Sus scrofa: one gene and its partner. The protein of the gene in region 1 binds, or shares a complex with, the protein of each later gene. Links are inferred from orthologs where the notes say so. Each region holds a gene or a part of one and is shown on either strand. Other genes may lie near its edges. The genes, in order: PTPN3 and MAPK12.

What was found.
Region 2: the proteins of PTPN3 (region 1) and MAPK12 are in contact, whole or in part, in a crystal structure (PDB 4QUM), measured with the Homo sapiens proteins. The link is inferred for Sus scrofa from reciprocal best matches to the Homo sapiens genes PTPN3 and MAPK12. Residues at the interface, in NP_002820.3 of Homo sapiens: Arg655, Leu671, Asn674, Arg675, Tyr676, Lys677, Asp678, Val679, Arg751, His812, Ser843, Ala844, Gly845, Ile846, Gly847, Arg848, Met883, Gln886, Thr887; in NP_002960.2 of Homo sapiens: Met182, Thr183, Gly184, Tyr185, Val186, Val187, Arg189.

What each region holds. Positions count from the first base shown.
Region 1 is NC_010443.5:250,447,129-250,455,939, forward strand, and holds part of PTPN3 (tyrosine-protein phosphatase non-receptor type 3), read right to left. Parts: intron 6,106-8,811; coding exon 5,919-6,105; intron 5,770-5,918; coding exon 5,695-5,769; intron 4,658-5,694; coding exon 4,601-4,657; intron 3,272-4,600; coding exon 3,115-3,271; intron 1-3,114.
Region 2 is NC_010447.5:426,265-435,651, reverse strand, and holds the start of MAPK12 (mitogen-activated protein kinase 12), read right to left. Parts: upstream 6,018-9,387; 5' UTR 5,806-6,017; coding exon 5,681-5,805; intron 5,614-5,680; coding exon 5,484-5,613; intron 3,295-5,483; coding exon 3,236-3,294; intron 2,494-3,235; coding exon 2,382-2,493; intron 2,288-2,381; coding exon 2,258-2,287; intron 2,062-2,257; coding exon 2,014-2,061; intron 1,553-2,013; coding exon 1,438-1,552; intron 1,192-1,437; coding exon 1,120-1,191; intron 879-1,119; coding exon 799-878; intron 720-798; coding exon 641-719; intron 548-640; coding exon 374-547; intron 1-373. Other genes in the region: MAPK11 (mitogen-activated protein kinase 11), read right to left, coding at 8,482-8,679, 8,912-9,085. UniProt on the Homo sapiens protein: Serine/threonine kinase which acts as an essential component of the MAP kinase signal transduction pathway.

The DNA of each region.
Region 1 (8,811 bases):
ACACGCTGGGGGATCGGTTTCCTCCCCCCAATTACACTTATGACACCTGAATGCAGATGGTTTAAAACATCTTATTAAATGATTAAGCACATGGTAATCATTTTCACCAACGACACTTCTTGTTGAATGATTCAATATGTGCTAATTATACAAAATGACATACTAATCTTTCTGGTTAGTTTTAAATGATGGTGTTTAGTACTCAGAGGCTTTTGCCAAAGGTATGAGAAAGGGAATGACTGTTTTTAAAGAACAGAGATCAGAGTTCCTGTTGTGGTGCAGCAGAAACAAATGTGACTAGTATCCATAAAGATAAGGGTTCAATTTCTGGCCCTGCTCAGTGGGTTAAGGATCCGGTGTTGCTGTGAGCTGTGGTGCAGGTCGCAGACATGGCTCGGATCCCGAGTTGCTGTGGCTATGGCCGGCAGCTGTGGGTCCGATTCAACCCCTAGCCTGAGAACTTCCATATGCCCTATGGGTGCGGCCCTAAAAAGCCAAAAAAAAAAAAAAGAACAGAGATCTTCTCCTGTTACTGTCTCTGAGCTGGTTATTCTTCTACCCCTGTTCTTCCCGAACCGTGTCTTCGGCCTACACCACAGCTCATGGCAATGCCGGATCCTTAACCCACTGAGCGAGGTCATGAACTAAACCCGCAACCTCATGGATCCCAGTTGGACTTGCTTCCGCTGCGCCACGATGGGAATCCCATGGGTCCCTTTTATCTGCTCCTTTAAAACAGGCATTTTCCCAGAAACTGGTGTGGGGTCTGGTGCTCTCTCCACACTGCCACTGTCCCACAGAGCTCAGGTGGTGTCTCTAACTCAGGCCACTGTTAGGAGGGAGGCCGCCCAGATAAACATCTCTAGTCTGTGTTTCCTCTTTGGAACAAATTCTCCCTTCATGCAGACTCAATATGGGTTAAAAAAAAAAAAGGCCAAGGGCCCTTCCTTCCCCACCATGCACAATACGTCCCGGCCTCATATGCTTCTTTCTGTCTATGTCACTTCCTTCTCCACTCTCTTAAAGGGAAGACTTTGAGCTCATCTCTGAATTTTTCCCTTTCTACCCAGAAACAGAAGTCACTCCCTTTCGCAATAGCCTTCAATGGCTCCCTACTGCCTTCAAGATAACAGGAAAGAAGGAGGCAACAACTTTGGGTTTTCCCACAGAGTTGAACTGAATCCTCACAGTACTGAAGCAGGTGTCATTATTCCCATCTTGCAGATGAGGAAACTGATTCAAAGGGCAAGAGTTTTAAGTCCACATCTGGCTGACCCGAAAGACCACATTCTTTTCACTGACCAAAGAAGCTCAGTTCTTCTACTTATTTTTGTGGGTTTTGTCATATGTGCTCCCCCGCCCCGTCCCGTTACTATTTACTTATTTTTCTTTCAATCATTTTTTACTTAAATGTTTATTTTTAAAATGAACTCACTGGAGTTCCCATCCCGTGGCTCAGGAGTAACAAACCCGACTCACATCCATGAGGATGAGGGTTTGATCCCTGGCCTTGCTCAGTGGGTTAAGGATCCAGCGTTTCTGTGAGCTATGGTGTAGGTTACAGACATGGTTTGGATCTGGTGTGGCTGTGGCATAGGCTGGCAGCTTCAGCTCCAATTTGACCTCTAGCCTGGGAACTTCCATATGCTGCAGGTGTGGCCCTAAAAAGACAAAAAAAAAAAAAAAAAAAGAACTTACTTTCATTACAGTTACAGGAAACCTTTTATGCACTTCCCTTTAGGCTCTACTAGTCTACAAGTATCTGTTTTTCTCACCTCAAAGCGTATTATACATTAAAGCCTGATACAAGTTCTGATTCTTCTTCTGTAAGGTCGAATGGGGCTCCATTAGTTTCTGCTACAGACACTGGCCCCTTGCCATGGGCTGGTGGTGGGCCCCCTCCCTGGCTTGGCCAGGGTGCTCCTGGGAAGAACCCCAGATTTGGCCAGCGGGTCACAGGGCACTGCATGTGATAGAGAGGTCTGCTCCCAACTGCTGGATTCCTTCCGTCCCTATTATCATGGGGCCTCACCAGACACATGGCAGCAGGGCAACTTAACCTCTCCGTGACTGCTGTTCCCATTTAGAGATAATAACACTAACCTACGAGAACATTTTAAGAATTGAATGGGATAATTAGTAAAGCAATTGACATGGTGTAGGCCCTCTGCTGGTGCTGCAGAGACATCAGCCACTGTCACGAGTGATACCTACTGTGTGCCCAGCATGGAGCTGGGTTTGGAGGGGATGGGGTGAGACGAGGTGGGAAGGGTTTTGGAGAGATCAGGTGGGGCCCTCACGGAGGAGGTGGGGTGAGAGCTGGCACTGGGAGCATCACCGGGAACAGAGAAGGCAGTGAGGCCACAACAGGGATGCAGGGCCAGGGCTTGAGCCACATACTTCATTTACCTTCAGTATTTGAAGCCGGGCAGGAGGATCCAAGGCTAACTGCTTTATAACAACCACCACCACCACAACAACAGTAATAGTATTCAACAGAGGCTGCCCTTCAAATGCCCACCAAGTACGGGGCAGCGTCCTTGTTGCTTTTCAGTATGAGTATTACTGAATCTTCACAGGAATCCAGAGGCAGCAACTGTGTTATCCTCATTTTACTTTAGTGGAAACGGAGACAGACTGGGCAAGAAACTCCTACTGGGCAAGGTCCCTGGGCCCAGTAGGAGGCAGGGTTAGAACAGCCCCAAGGCAGTCAGCCTCCTGCCCTACTCAGCTTACTGTCTCTCCAACAAAACCAAATGCACATGAATAAAATATAACCTGATCTGCTGAGATGGGGATGATTATGCAAAGGCAGACGGGGCCAGGCAGCTAAGCGGGGTGCACGATGTGGGCTGAGTCCGGCTGGGAGGAACGCGGGGCTCGTGCCCTGTATAAAAGGGGGTGGGTGCTGCCTACTTGCCGAGCACTGGCCATGAGGGGTAGGGTGTTGGGTGGGCAGGTCTCCACATTTTTCAAGTGAAAAGTCAGCCAGCAGGTTGTCATGGGAAAGGTCTGGCTTGTCCGATGTTGGCTACGAGCTCAACATCTCAACACCTCGGAAGGGGCGGGAGAAGGCCCTCTTCGCTAAGGCGCCTCTCCGTGGGTGGCCCTTACCTTTCCTCCGGATCACCAGGACCAGCTCCCGCGTGTGTGACTCCCGGCTGGCTTTGATGAACATCACCACTTGGTCATGGGTGTGTTCGGAGATGTCCCGGCCGTTGATCAGCACGATTTGATCCCCTTCGTTCAGCTTAGGAATGCAGGTGTCCGCCTGCGTGCGGGGAAAGAGAGAGGCGAGTTTCTTCCGTTACCATAACGCACGCCTCAGGGGATGAACCCGATGCTTTCTGAGCCCGGACACTTGGGACCGTGACCAAGTGCTCCTTCTCTCCCTCAGGCATTCCCTTCTTTATTCTTACAGCCACTGCTGTGTTGACATGGTAGCTGGTTGTGGGGTTTTAAAGAAGGACCTCAGTTATGAACCACGGCAGAATAAGGCTAAGAAAAAGACGGAGGTCATTTCTCTACGGTAGCCAGTCTGCACTTACTACTGTAATGTCATAACGGCAACGAGGCCTCCATCCTTCGTTTTCTAGATGTGCTGTTAGAAAATGATCTGTCGGCTGAACATGACAATTTTCTACCTGGTGATGGAGAAAGCCTTTGCAAGCACAACCCCAAGGGCAGAAACCATTATGGAGAGAAGTGATGCTCTGAACCGTGTGGGAATAAAAGCCTTCTTAACACGCAGAGGCCACACGCAGTTAGGAAAAAGTCGACCACAAGCTTAAAGGCTACTTAAGAGTAAAACCTTCAAACGGGTACCTTCTTAGGAAGCATGGGGTCTCTCTGGTGCTCACTGCTTTAAAAAGGCCAATCAGGAGTTCCTGTCGTGGCGCAGTGGTTAACGAATCTGACTAGAAACCATGAGGCTGCGGGTTCAATCCCTGGCCTTGCTCAGTGGGTTAAGGATCCGGCGTTACCGTGAGCTGTGGTGTAGGTTGCAGATGTGGCTCGGATCCCGCGTTGCTGTGGCTCTGGCGTAGGCCGGCGGCTGCAGCTCTGATTCGACCCCTAGCCTGGGAACCTCCATATGTCACAGGAGTGGCCCTAGAAAAGGCAGACAAAAAAAAAAAAAAAAAAAAAAAAAAAAAAAAGGCTAATTATCTCTTAGCTGCCTAGAGGCCCAGACACAGGAAGGGGCACAAGGGCTGAATGACCCACGAGCCCACTCAGAGCGAGCAGAACAGCAAACTCTAGGCTCCAGTTTCCGTCTCTTGAGGGGCCTTCTACATTTTAACCTGCACACTGATCACCTGGAGATCTTGTTAAAAATGCAGATTCTGGTCCAGGAGGTCGGGGGTGGGGCCCGAGAGTCTGCATTTCTAATGAGCTCTCAGGTGACAGTGCTGCAGCTTCGGGGACCACCCTGAGCAGCAAGGTGCTGGAAAACACGGGTGCCATTCTTTCTTCCCATCTACATGAGTGAGCTTACACACACTCTCTGCTGCGGGTAAGAAAGAAGCAGGACACAGAAAATGGAAATCTTTTACATCTAGGGGAAAGCAAACTTGGGAAATAATGGAACACATTTACTTACAGGTGACTCTGGGTTTATCCTTGATACCACAAGAGGCATTTTTTGATCCACTCCTCCCTGTAAATATGTACATTAAAAAGAAAAAAAAAAAAAACACTTGGGTCGTTCACAGCAACAAAGACAGGCAGATATCTCTAACACAAGGGAGGGCTCAAATCTTCACCTTAACCCATTCTAATCCCAGGGGTTGGCGACTTTCAGAATGACATGGTTTCTGACCCCCTGGTCTACTGGACTGGCCAGAAGGCTGCTCAGAAGCTTCCCACTGCCATCCCCACCTTCCCCCGACTAAAGATGTACTTGGAAGAACAAGGCTCCTTGCAAAAACTGCACATATCCCCGGGAGAAGGACTCCGAGAGCAAAGCTTCTAAGTGCTGCTGGAAAGGGAGTCTTCAGGGGAGGAGAGAGAAGCTGTAGAAAGGTGTCAAGCTGTGAGGGCTTCTGACTGCTGAGAACGGGTTGCCAGAAGGGCTGCTACGGTATCAGAAAAGAGTGTGTGATGACAGCTGTGGGGTGGGCAGCAAAGGCCACCTGCCCTCACTGTGCTCTCAGGAGGGGCTGGTAAACATTTTCTGCAAAGGGACAAAGGGCTCTGTCACATCTCCTCAACTCTGCTACCCAAGTCCCAAGGGAGTCATAAACCATTTGTGAGTAAATGGGTGTGGCTGTGTTCTAATAAAACTTTATTTATAAAAACAGATGGGACTTGGTCCACAGGCCACAGTTTGCAGAGACACAGAAGGGGGAGATGGCTCTGGACTTGAACCATGGCTCTCTCCTGGCAATGCTGAGGGGGTCCCATCTCTCTGAGCCTTAGTGGGTTTTAAAATAGGCTTAAACACACCAACTTCTGCGCTTAATAGAAGAATTCAATAAGGTGATTTAATAAGTACACGGCAGACACCAAGCACAGACCAGGCAGTTGATAGGAGGCAGCTGCCGTGGCCACATAAAGAGCCTCCAGTTCTGAGGGCTGAGCCGATTTCCTCATGCAGCCTGAGGAGGTGGGTGGTACATTTCTGATAGAAGTTAGAACGTCGCCTAGAGGGGGCTTCAGAGCACAAAACGTTCTTTGAAATCACACACAACGTACCTTTAGATTAAATCCAAATTTCCCCTCTTCATCAGGCGTGATGCGGATCAAGACTAAGTAGCCGTCACCGTCGTTCTGGAAAATGATGGAAAATCATCCATTAGGTGATTTCCCTCTCCGGTGGGTGGTTCGAAGCTACTTTCTTGGAGTCACAACCACTCACTGGCCCGTGAGGCACCCCCCCACACACACACACAGGAAGCCCGCGGGGTCGGCTGGCACACCTTATCACAGTAGTACTGGCTGGAGTCCTCAGTGGAGCCGCCTTTAGTCACCCTGTGGAAGTCCTCTAAGAACTGCTGATCGACGCCATCCGGGGAGCAGGAGCCTGGAGCGTTGGAAGATGGAGATGCAGAACTGGATGACTTCTGGGTCAGGCAGCCGTGTGCTGCGTTGTTCTCGGATATGCTCCTTCGTTGTGGGGAAGGAAGGGATGTATTAATAACTGGATGACTATTTTATCAGGGCAAACATTTCTGACTGTGGGTCCTAGCATCTCATGGCTGTCACCAATCCTTGGAACCTTAGAAGCACTGCAACGGTCAAGTCCAGGGCTCGGGCACACCAAGAGTCCACGGGCTACTCATGCCCCCATCTGGCCTAAATATCATCACTGTTAGTTTGGGGGAAAGGGGGCAGGAGGGCAGGGCAGTGCCAGGAACTGCTGAAAACTCAGCTGCCTCAGAAGGGTCATGGGGAAACATGCCCAGCTAGTCTGGTGCTTAATTTTTTTTTTTTTTTTTTTTTTTTTGGTCTTTTGTTTTCATAGGGCCGCAACCGTGGCATATGGAGGTTCCCATGCTAGGGATCTAATTGGAGCTGTTGCTGCTGGCCTACGCCAGAGCCACAACAACGCCAGATCAGAGACGCGTCTGTGACCTACAACCACAGCTCACGGCAACGCCAGATCCTTAACCCACTAAGCAAGGCCAGGAATTGAACCCTCAACCTCACGGTTCCTAGTCGGATTCGTTTCCACTGTGCCACGATGGGAACCCCCTGGTGGTTAATTTTTGAAACTCATTTAGATGCATGTTGCTCCATGCCCTCTAAAAGCTTTTTCCTTGTGGCATATGGAAGTTCCCAGGCTAGGGGTTAAAGCAGAGCCATAGGTGCCAGCCACAGCCACAGCCACAGCCACACCAGATCTGAGCCAGTGTGTGACCTGCACCACAGCTCACAGTAACACCAGGTCCCTGACCCACTGGTGAGGTCAGGGATCGAAGCTGCATCCTCATGGATACTACTCAGATTCATTTCCACTGCACCACAACAAGAACGCCTAACAGCGCAGTTAGAGAACACGTCCATCATTGCAGGAAGTTCTACTGGGTGGTGTTGTCTTCAAGAATTATGGACTATTAGAACTGAACAGACCTCTGTGGTCATCTGGTCCAGCTCCCATTTCGCAGATGGAGAAATTGGTCAAGAGGCACCGAGTGGGGGAGTTCCCCTTGTGGTGCAGGGGAAACAAATCTGACTAGGAACCATGAGGTTGCAGGTTTGATCCCTGGCCTCGCTCAGTGGGTTAAGGATCCGGCGTTGCCGTGTAGGTCACAGACGCGGCTCAGATCTGGTGCTGCTGTGGCTGTGGCGTAGGCCAGTGGTTATAGCTCTGATTCGAACCCTAGCCTGGGACCTTCCATGTGCCGTGGGTGTGGCCCTAAAAAGCCAAAAAAAAAAAAAAAAAAAAAAAAAAAGAGAGAGAGATGCCGAGTGACTTGCCCAAGGTCACACGGCTTTCCCCTCACCTGACAAACAGAAGTCTGAAGACCATGAGTCCCCGAGGACCCCTCTCCTCTCCAGGCCATCCACATCTGCTCCTAAGACCCTTTTTTCTAACCTCACAGGACCTAACCGTACAGGACACGCAGCTTCTCTGCATCACGCACACCCACGCTGGACCCCCTCCAGAGCCACGGGCCTCACAAAAGATGCCTTAAACCGCCTACAGAATAAGGGCTGGCCTTGAGTTCCATAGACTCCTCCACATTCTCATCTCATTCAAGGTTAAGTGATAGGAAAGGTAAGTAGACAAGACATTCAGTGAAACAAACAGAGAAAAGACAAACCTTTATTTCAGGTCCTTATCCATGGAGTGTTCATTAAAACAGTGCTCCTCTGTCTCTTAGTAAGTTCAAATTAGCTTACCTTTTTTTTTTTTTTTTTTTTTTTTTTGCTTTTTAGGGCCACACTTGCAGCATATGGAGGTTCCCAGGCTAGGGGTTGAATTGGAGCTATAGCTGCCAGCCTACGCCACAGCCACAGCCACAACAACTTGGGATCCGAGCTGCGCCTGCGACCTACACCACAGCTCGTGGCAACGTCGGATCCTTAACCCACTGAGCGAGGCCAGGGATGAAACCTGCATCTTCATGGATCCTAGTCGGGTTCGTCATGAAAGGAGCTCCAAAATTAGCTTACTTTAGATGTAAAACCCATATCATAGTCACACAGAATGATTCACAAGCTCCATTCATTTGAATACAAACATTCAGTGACAGACCAGTGTAGAAACAGAGCACTTCTTGCAAGAGAAGAGATTGGCCTTAAGGTTTTCAAGTTACCAGTCAAGGGGTGTTATGTATGGGAAGGCATTACAGAGGGCATTACATTACAGAAGGCATTACATTTTGGAATGGAAGCTATATACTAGTCTAAATAAGACTTTAATTTACTAAAACGAAGCTTAAAAAAGTCTCCCCAAGAAGAGCAGCTTTGCTGTTTTGATGTTTACAAGAGCGCCTCCCAGTGGCATAAAGGGAAACGTGGCAGTTGCTAAACAAGATAAAGCCAAAGGGGTTTAGGAAATGCTATTTCTAGCACTAGAGGTGGATCTGAGCCTTTAACCTGAAGCTGCAAATAGCATTCATACTTCAAACATTTGGAAGAATCTGGAGACGGGAGCCACGGAAAGAGTGAAGATCTGTAAACAGAAGAGCAAGGTGACAAAGCAGAAGAGGACAAACTTTTCAGTAAACTGCAATATATTTTTGTATGCATTATATTTACTTAATTTCTAAATCCTGAATTTAGAATTACATGATACAGCATTATAATGTAATTAAACATCATATAAGGTTTTAGTTTTCTTTTTTAGTATAAAACGTAACGGTC
Region 2 (9,387 bases), on another chromosome or scaffold:
CCCTTTCATCTTTCAGCTACTTCTATGTTTTGGTCTTTTCAGGGCTGCACCCGCAGCATAGGGAAGTTCCCAGGCCAGGGGTCAAATCAGAGCTGCATTTGCAACCTGTGGCCTACACCACCGCTCATGGCAACGCCAGATCCTTAACCCACTGAGCGAGGCCAGGGATCGAACCTGCATCATCCTGGATACTAGTTGGGTTCGTTACCACTGAGCCACGACAAGAACTCCATCCTTCAGCTCCTCTGCCCTCTGCCCTGTTCCTCACCTAACCTGAAGCCCAGGGTGGGGGGACCCAGGACTCCGGACCCCGGCCACCTGCATGGGGCTTGTGCGGTCGAGCGGCGGACCCTGCCCAGAGCCCTGCACTCACGCTTCCACTCGTCCAGCGTGCGATCCACGTCATCAAAGGACTCGTCATACTTCTGGGCCTTGGGCTCATCCTCCGTGTCCTGCAGCGACTCGAAGTAGGGGTGGGTCAACGCCTCGGCCGCCGTCACCCGCCGCTCTGCATCCAGCACCAGCATTTTCTCCAGGAGGTTCACCGCTGGGGGAAGGGTGGGTCAGGCCTGGCTGAGGGGAGCGTCCCGGGTCCCCGCACCAGGTCATGGACCCCATGCCCACGCCAGCCCCACCCTACCCAGAGGGCTTGCGTTGGTCAGGACGGAGGCAAAATCCTTTTTCTCCAGCTCAGGGAGACCCTTCATGTAATTCTTGGCCTGTGTGGGAAGCGAGGGTGAGGGGCCGGCCCCGCGGCCCAGGCCCAGGCCTCCAGCCCACGGCCCGCTGCCCACTGACATCCGCACTCTGCAGCCTCTGCACGAACTCCTCGGGGGGCGTCCCCGTCACCTTCATGATCTCCTTCAGCTGGTCCAGGTCTCGGCTGAGGTCAGGAGCACAGCGTGGGACCAGAGTGCGGAGCTGGTGGAGGGGAGCCCCGGCCCCCGCCCCCCCAGGAGGAGGGGAGTCCCGGCCCCCGCCCCCCCAGGAGGAGGGGAGTCCCGGCCCCCGCCCCCCCAGGAGGAGGGGAGCCCCGCCCCCGCCCCCCAGGAGGAGGGGAGCCCCGCCCCCCGCCCCCCAGGAGGAGGGGAGCCCCGCCTGGCTCCAGGTGGAGGATACGGTCGCTGCCTCTGAAGAGCGTCTTTCCTGTGATCATCTCGGCCATGATGCAGCCCACTGACCAGATGTCCACTGGGACAAAAGCCCCTGCATCAGGGCTCGGTGGGCTGGGGAGGGGGGCACACACAGACGGCGGGGGGGGGGGGGCGGAGACAGACGCGGGAGTGGGTGCAGTGGAGGGGGCGCGGCCACAGGTGCCATCAGCCCGCCCGGCCCCGCCCGCCGCAGCCCAGCTCGGCAGGCCCCCAACAGCAGGGGCGCAGGCAGGGCGGCTTGGAGGCTGGGGCGGGGAGGCCCTGAGCCTCCGGCGTTCCTCACCCGTCTGCGTGTAGCGCATCCAATTCAAGATGACCTCAGGTGCCCGGTACCAGCGCGTCACCACATACCCAGTCATCTCGCTGTCGGCCTGTCTGGCCAGGCCGAAGTCCAGGATCTATGGGCAGAATCGGGAAGGTGGGGCACCAGGGGTGGGGGGGCGAGGGCAGCTTGCGGCCCAGGAGACCCGAAGAGGACTGGGCACACCAGGGTCTCCAGGACACCCTCTGGGCTCTGAGGTCACAGCCACGTACCCCTAAGCCTCCCCTTCGGTGCCTCCCCACAGCCAGTCACCCCAAATCCTAGACCAGGCACCCCAGAGGGGTCTCCTTCCCTGCCCTCCTCTCCCCGCTAACCCTGCAGGGCCTGGCGCCACCTCTGGGGAGGCCTCCTCAGCCCAGCCCTGGCTCAAGCCCAGGGAGCCGGGCACACATTCCCCACCAGCAAGGTCCCGCAGGGCCCATCTGCCCATCAACTGCTTGCCAGTGCCTGTGCCAGGCCTCCTGCAGGCCAAGGGCTGAGGGCACGGCAAGCAGCAGGGCAGGTTGAGGGAGGCCCGAGCCCCCAGTTGGCACACACCTTCAGTTCACAGTCCTCATTCACCACCAGGTTGCCAGGCTTCAGGTCCTGCGAACAAAAGACGGCTGTGCAGCACCCCCGCCCGCCCGCCCGCCAGGGTGCAAAGGGGAGGGCCTGGGCCGCGCCCGACCATGGGAGCATCCAGGCCGCTGAGGTGCAGGGGCGTGGGGCCCAGGGCTGTGTGCAGGCCTTGTGCCCCGTCCAGTGAGAAAGGAGGCCCCTGAGCTCGAGGGCCAGGACTCACCCTGTGGATGACACCAGCAGCATGGATGTACTGTGTGGACAGAGTGGGCAGCGGCAGTGAGCTCAGGGGGACCTCAGAGCCCCGGCCCAGCCCCGGGGCTCCACCCCCTGTGACGGCCCCCCACCTTCAGCCCCTTCAGCATCTGGTAGACAAGGAACTGGATTCGGTCGTCACTCAGCTTCTCGTGCTTCATGAGCTTTCCCAGGTCGGTGCCCATGAACGGCATCACCAGGTAACTGCAGGGACCGGGCAGGTAGAGATGGCAGGTGTCACGCCTGGGGGCCCAGGCCCGGGCGACCCTGTCGCCCTGCAGCACCCGGCCTCCAGCTCCCACAGGCCTGCACGGGGCCCCATCCTGCTGGCCCCACGCAGCCCAGCAGGTCACGGCCGTGCTTCGGGGTTTCCTGAAGGGAGCTCGCCTGCTGGGGGTGGCGGGGAGGGCGCAAGAGAGAGAAGGGAAGCGCCCGAGGGCAGGTGGGACAGCAGGACATCTAGGTCAGAGGCGGGGCTGGACAGGTGGAGGGAGAGAGACAGGGAGAGACACACAACGGCCCGCCAGGACACAGAGGCCAGTGTGCGTCCTTGTCCTTCCCAGGCCTTCCCAGGCCTGGCCCTTGGCTCTTGGCTGACAACAGTGTGAGTCCAGGGGTGGCCTCCTGGGCAGCCGCGGGGCAGGCTCAGCAGAGCAGGGCAGCGCTGGGTGCCCTGTGGCGCCCCTCCCCTGCCACCAGCAAAGGTCAATGGCTCCAATTACAGGCCACACACTTAGTGCCAGGGTGCTAGAGCACGGGACTAGCTAACAGATCCTCAGGTCCAAGGCTGGCACCACTGGCACTGGAGGAGGAGGCCCAGGTCCATCAGGCAGTACCTAGCGGTACTGCCTCCAGCCACCCCCCTGCCAACCCCCAACCTGAAGCTGACACCCAGGAGCCACCCAACACCACCTGCTCTGCCGGGCCAGCCCCAGGCGGCACTCACAAGTCTGTAAAATCATCCAGGGTCTCATCAGGCGTGAACACGTCCAGCAGTCCAATCACCTGGGGAGGAGGCCAGAGCACCAGGTTGGCCGGGGACACGGGGGCTCAGACACAGCCTGCTCTGGGCAGGAAAGCCTCCTGCAACTGGCCTGGTCTCCCCCCACCATTCAGGGCCTGGCTCTTGCCCACCAGCAGCTCAACCCAGCCCTGGCACACACGCCCATGGACAAAGGCTATTTTGGGATGGTGACAGCCAGGATCCTCCAGGGGAGGGGCGGCCCCAAGTCTGGGTCAGCTCCCAGGCCATCCAAGGAGCGCCAGCCCCATGGCCCTTCCTCCCCCTCTTGCTGTCCCCACTGAAGACCCAGGACCACTGTGGGGACAGCCTCTCAGGGGAGAGTTCCTTCGAGAGGCTGCGCCTCTGCCAGAGGCCCAGGCAGGCAACACTGTGGCCACATCGACAGCCCTCTGACCAGGGGTGATGGACAGCAGACAGGTAATGTGACAACTGCTACCTGGGGTTCCAGTGACAAGGCCTCCAGGGACCCTGGGAGGCTGAGAATCAGAGTGGCTGGAGGAGCAGGTGGATGTGCTGGCAGGGGGACACCTGGCAGAGGCCAGGCAAATGATGGCCGGGGCAGGAGGGAAATTGCTTGGTGCGTTTGAGGAACACGGGAGAGAGGCCAGGTGGCCAAGGACCAGGCCAAGGAGTAGCCAAGGAGAAGCCGAAGGGAACCCGAGCAGGCCCTCGAACACCAGGGAAGGTTTGCTTTGATCCTAAGAGCCACTGAGGACGGTGAGATGCTGAATGTGTCCCCTGGCTGCTATATGGGGACAAACCAGAGTGAGGTGAAGGTGGATGGGGGTGGAGGGACAGCTAGATGACCAAAGCGGACACCAGAGCCAGAGATGTGGGCGGGGTGGAGGGGACAGAGTGGCACATCCAGAGGGGCCTGGAGGCAGGTGAGCCGAGGGCCCTGGGAGGAGGCTTTGGCAGGAATGGCGGGGGGGGGCAGGTGGTATCCATCAGGTTGATGGAGATCTCTAGGCCTCTGCGGTGCAGACGGGGCCTGGGGCGGGGCGGGGCGGGGCGGGGGGGGGGGGAGGACGGAGGAGCTCACGCGGGTGTGCCACTCGGCCTCACCGAGCCTAGCTCCTCCTAGGAACTGGGTTTAGGAAGCTCTTGGAACAGCCCTGCAGGTTGCAGCGCTCCGCGCTGTGGGTCAGGGGCTCCCCTGGGAGAAGGACCCACTGGTACAGATCGGGGCGGGAGGTAACTGGACAGAAGGCCTGGAGACGGCACTGGAGCAGCAGGTGGTGGGGAGAAGCCGGGTGAGGACTCTGGGAGAGGACAAGCCTGAGTGTGACCAGATGTGACCCAGAGGCAGTAAAGGCCCGGCTGGGCTGGTGAATGGGTGCCACCCGGGAAGGGTCAAGGGTAGAGGAGTCTGAGAGAAAGAAGGACCCTCTCTGCGAGGGGCTGAGAGGTGGGCGTTGGTCAGGAGCCAAGGGGTGAGTTTCCTGGTGGACACGGAGGCTCATTCTCGTGGTTCTGATGAGCCAGGAGGTGCCAGACCACCACGATCAGTCGGGGTCTGGGCGCCCAGATCACCAGCCCTCAGACTGGGCAGGGGTGGCTTGTGTGGGAGGGGACAGAGCTCAAGGCCACAGGCAAACAGCAGGAGCACCCCCAGCAGAGGGAAGGGCTCTTAGCAGCCAGCAGCGTTCCCAGGAGAGGCTTGAGGCAGTTCCGGACGCAACAGACTTTTCCCTGCCGGAGGCTGGGTCCAGCCCCTACCCCAAGGGCTGTGAAATGCACGCCGCTGGACGTGAGGAAGGCGTGTGCCCCGTGTCCTTCGCACACCAGCTCCCCAAGGCCCACACAGGCCCCCTCGGGGCTCCCAGGGCTGGGGCTCAGGAGGTAGAGGGAGCACAGCGGGTTCAGGAAGGGGTGCCCAGAAGAGACACGGTGCCCCTTCCAGAGACTCGCCCCCCACCTGAGGTCGCCTCTCGCCTCGGGGATCCTGCTTGGAGGCGGGACCTGGAGTGAGCCCCCGGGCAAGAGGACGTCGTCCCCTGACCGGGGCCTGGGCCGGGCGGACGAGCCGGATGTGGCCTCGGGAAGGAGCCAAAGACCAGACCGGAGTCCTCTCCAGGGCCTCGCCGCCGCCGAGGGGCTGCGGGCCAGGCGGGCGCGGGCGCGGGGGCGGGGGGGGGGGGCGGGGAGCCGAGGCGACCGCGCGACTCACGTTGTCGTGGCGCATGTGCTTGAGCAGGCGCAGCTCGCGGTAGGCGCGCTTGGCGAACAGCTCGGACTGGAAGGGCCGGTACAGCTTCTTGATGGCCACCTTGGCCCCGGTGCGGGTGTCCACCGCCGAGCTGCGGGACGCACCGCTTAGCGGGAGGGCCGGCCTCGCCGCCCGGCCCCCGCCCGGCCTGCGCTCACCACACGGCGCCGTAGGCGCCCGAGCCCACGGGCTGCAGGTCCTGGTACACGACGCGCACCTCCCAGGCCGTCTTGGTCACCTCCTGGCGGTAAAAGCCCTTGCGGGCGGCCGCCGGGGCGCTCATGGCTGGCCGGGCACCGCCCCGCCGCAGACCCCGCGCCCCGAGGACCCGGGGCCCGGGTTCCGCGGGGCACCCTGGCGCGCGCCCCTGGCCGCGGCGCGGGGCAGAGCCGGCGCCGCGCCGCGCCGCCCGTCGCCGCCGGGGCTCCCCCGCTCCCGGCTCTTGCCTCCGAGCTCTCCGGAGCCGCCGACCCCGGCCCGGGCACAGCGCGGCCCCTCCCCGGCCGGCGCACCAACCGGCCCCGGGGCCGCGCGCACGTGACGCCGCGCCCGCCCTCCGGCCCCTCCGGAAACCTGAGGCGGCCGCCCGCCCGCCCGCCCGCCCCGCCGGAGGCCGGAGCCGGAGCCGGGGGAGGGGACGGAGGGGACGGGGAGCGGCGCCCGCCGCCCCGGCTCGGCCCAGCCCCCGGCGCCCGCCCCTGCCCTTGCGATGAAGCCCGCAGACCTCCAGAGAGGAGGCATCTTAACAGGGGCCGCGTCTCCCGCCTGCAAGCACCGCCCCGGGGCGCTGGCCCACGGCGGGCGGCCCGCCGGAGCTGGGCAACCTCCAGCCCAGCCCATCCCCGATCACTGTCCACCCCCCAGCGCGCCGCCTGGTCGGCCCCAGCTCCGCCGTCCCCAGCACCTGCCTTCCCCCTTCCCCCTTTCCCTAGGAAAAAGTCGGTTCCATCTCCCAAGTCACACAGTTGCAAGTCCCTCTGCCTGTCCTGCCCCTGCCCAGCCTAGGCCCTCTGGTTTGTTCAAAGGCCAGCGGGAGCCTCCTCTCTCTCTCCAGGAAGGTGTGCCTGACCCCAGGGGTGAAGGGGCCTCTCAGTGCCCCGCCCCAGGTGGGGGCTTCATCATTTCATGGGTTTGGCCCCTCCTTGACCCGCTGCTCCTGGAGGACAGAGCCCCCAGTCCTTTCCTTGTCCTGCCCTAGCCCAGTGACCCAGGCGGGAGAGAGAGTGGGGTAAGAAGATCCCCAGGGCCCCCTGCCCCGCCCTCTGTGCCCTGCACCATGAATCAGCAGCTGAGCAGCTCAGGCCTGGCCAGAGCAGCTTTACACCTGGGCTGCCGAGGGCATCTGGGCGCTCTGGAGTGGCCGGCTGGTCAGTGGGAGCAGCCTGGGGTCACTGGAGCCACCACCGCCTCTCCCCAGGTGCTTCATGCCCTGGGCTGCCTGTGGCACTCTGCCTGCCTCCTCCAGGAAGCCCCCAGCAGTCCAGAGGTTTCTGCGTCAGACCAGACTCCCCGGTGAGGCATGTCCCAGTTCTGCTCCTGTTCGCCCCCGGCCCCCCGCCCAGGACTGGACCCAGCCTGGTCTCCAGGGGTTTTCCAGGACCAGAAGCCCAGTACCCGCACCACCCAGGCCTCTGGAGGCCCACCTCCCCAGTGGTCTGCACCCCAAGGCCTAGGCAGAGACATAGGCTGTCCCTGTCCTGCGGATACCCTGCCTGATTCCCCCTGGGGGTGTGCCTGTGGGCTGAAGCAGCCCGCCATCTCCCTGGCCCTGGGAGGGGCAGGCCTTTGCTCTCAGAGACCCCCGCTGCCCCCCACGTCTTCCCTGACCACTGGGTGAGGGGGCAGGTCTGGATCTGGACCAGAGCCCGTGCAGTAAACCCCGGCAGGACAGACAGCATCCCTCACTCTCAGCGAGCAGGGAAGATGCTGAGACCGCTGCTTGTCTGTCCAAGGACTGGAAGAATGGGGCCATCCCTCCAGGCCGTGGGGACAGCGGGCAGCAGGCCCTGGAGCCCAAGACACAAGCTGAGCGAGAGAGGACCCCTTTTATTGTGAAACCCTGGGGCAGGCACTTGACATTCAGATCTCCCTGATCCCGCAAGGCCAGGGGTCACCCCCCAGCCCGCCTGACAGAGAAGCCCCTTGAGGGAGGACCTGCACCCCCAGTGCATTTCGAGCAGAGGCTGGAGGTCAGCTGCACCCTGGAGGGGCAAGACAGGGCTGCCCTGCAGACGTAGAGCGGGCAGAGGTTTTCTTCAGGAGCTCTGGGCCAGGGGCCAGGATCCGAGTCCATACCAGAGTGTGGGTCCTCCATGCTGGAGCCCCCAGGCCTGCCAGCCCCCCAGCTGGCATGGTGCCCTCGGGCCTCTGGAACCTGCTGCAGATCCCATGCCCAAGGAGACAGGATCCTTTTGCTCACATGGCTGACCCTGGTCACCTCGCCCCTGGCCGGCAGCACGGCTCCCACCCCAGGACCTGGGGGGGTGGGCAATAGTGAGCCACTGCCACTGCCGCCCCAACTTGGGCCTCCTGCTGGTCATGGTCGCTGGCCTTTGGATGCCCTCAGGTCCACACATGCCTGCATCTGCTTTGACATGTGAATCCCAGGTGTGCCCAAGATAGCACAGGTGAACACATGGCTCCAGGCAGCTGTCCCCACCTGCCCCCCAGGGAAGATTCGGCTCAGCACTTTGCAGGGCAGCCCCTTCCCGCTGAGCGGCTCTGACCACCCAGACTTTTGTCTCCAGGAGGCTGGGCCCCAAAGCACCACCCCCCCCGCCCCGCCGACCATGCGACAGCCCTCTTCGGCTCAGGAGACTGGAAACAGACACCATCCCCGGGGGGTGCTAGGGCACCCAGGTCCCCCACAGTGAGGTCCCGAGGGAGACTCAGGTTGCTGGGAGCGGGTCGGGGACCAAGGAAGTCCTGACAGCTCTGCCCAGACTCCCACGTCGGTGGCTCACACATGAGCATCCAAGCGTGCAAACTTGCCCCAAGGAGTGTCGCATAGACAAGGGGTCCTGGGAGGCAGGCTGAGGGAGGGGGCAGGCCGGCTCAGGCCCTGCCTTGAGGTCGCCTCACTGCTCAACCTCCAGGCTGCCAGGTGGCCGCGGTGGCTCCGGGGGCTTGAAGCTGAGGACCTCCTGGTAGGTGAGCTCTGCGGGGGGAGCGGAAGGGTGAGTTCAGGCCCCCAGCAGCCCAGGCGCTTGGGCTCCTTCCTGGGCCTGCCTTGCGTTGCCTCTGAGCCTCCGATGGACACACCAGACCCCTGGAGTGGGGCGGGGGCACCTTGTCACCCACCCAGACCACTCTCCAGAGGAACTGGAGCACTCTGTGCAGAAAACAGGCAGCGCCCGGCCCAAGGGGCCCACGGCCCCACCCCCACCCACCCTTCCACTCCTCCGCCGTGCGCTCCTTGGCCTCGATGCTCTCATCGTAGGGCTCTGCTTCCGGCTCATCCTCCGGGTCGTGGTACTGGCTGAAGTAGGCGTGCGACAGGGCCTCGGCCGCGCTGACCCTCTGGTCACTGTCCAGCACCAGCATCCTTCCCAGGAGGTCCACAGCTGCGGGGTGGCCCGGGGGGTCAGCGCCACGTCCGGGCGAGACGTGCAGCCCATGCCCCAGGGCCCACGCTCACCCAGGGGGTTGGCGCCACGGAAGATGCTCCTGAGATCCTTCTGGGGCACGGGGGGCAGCGACTGGATGTACGCCCGGGCCTAGCGGCGTGTGGAGGGGGCTGCTCAGGGCCCACCTCCCCGGGCCTCAGCCAGGCAGGGGCTTGCCAAGAGAAGCCCCCAGACCCGTTCACTCCAACAGGCCTGAGCAAGGGCAGGTGCTGACCAGAGACCTTCCCACTCTGGATCTG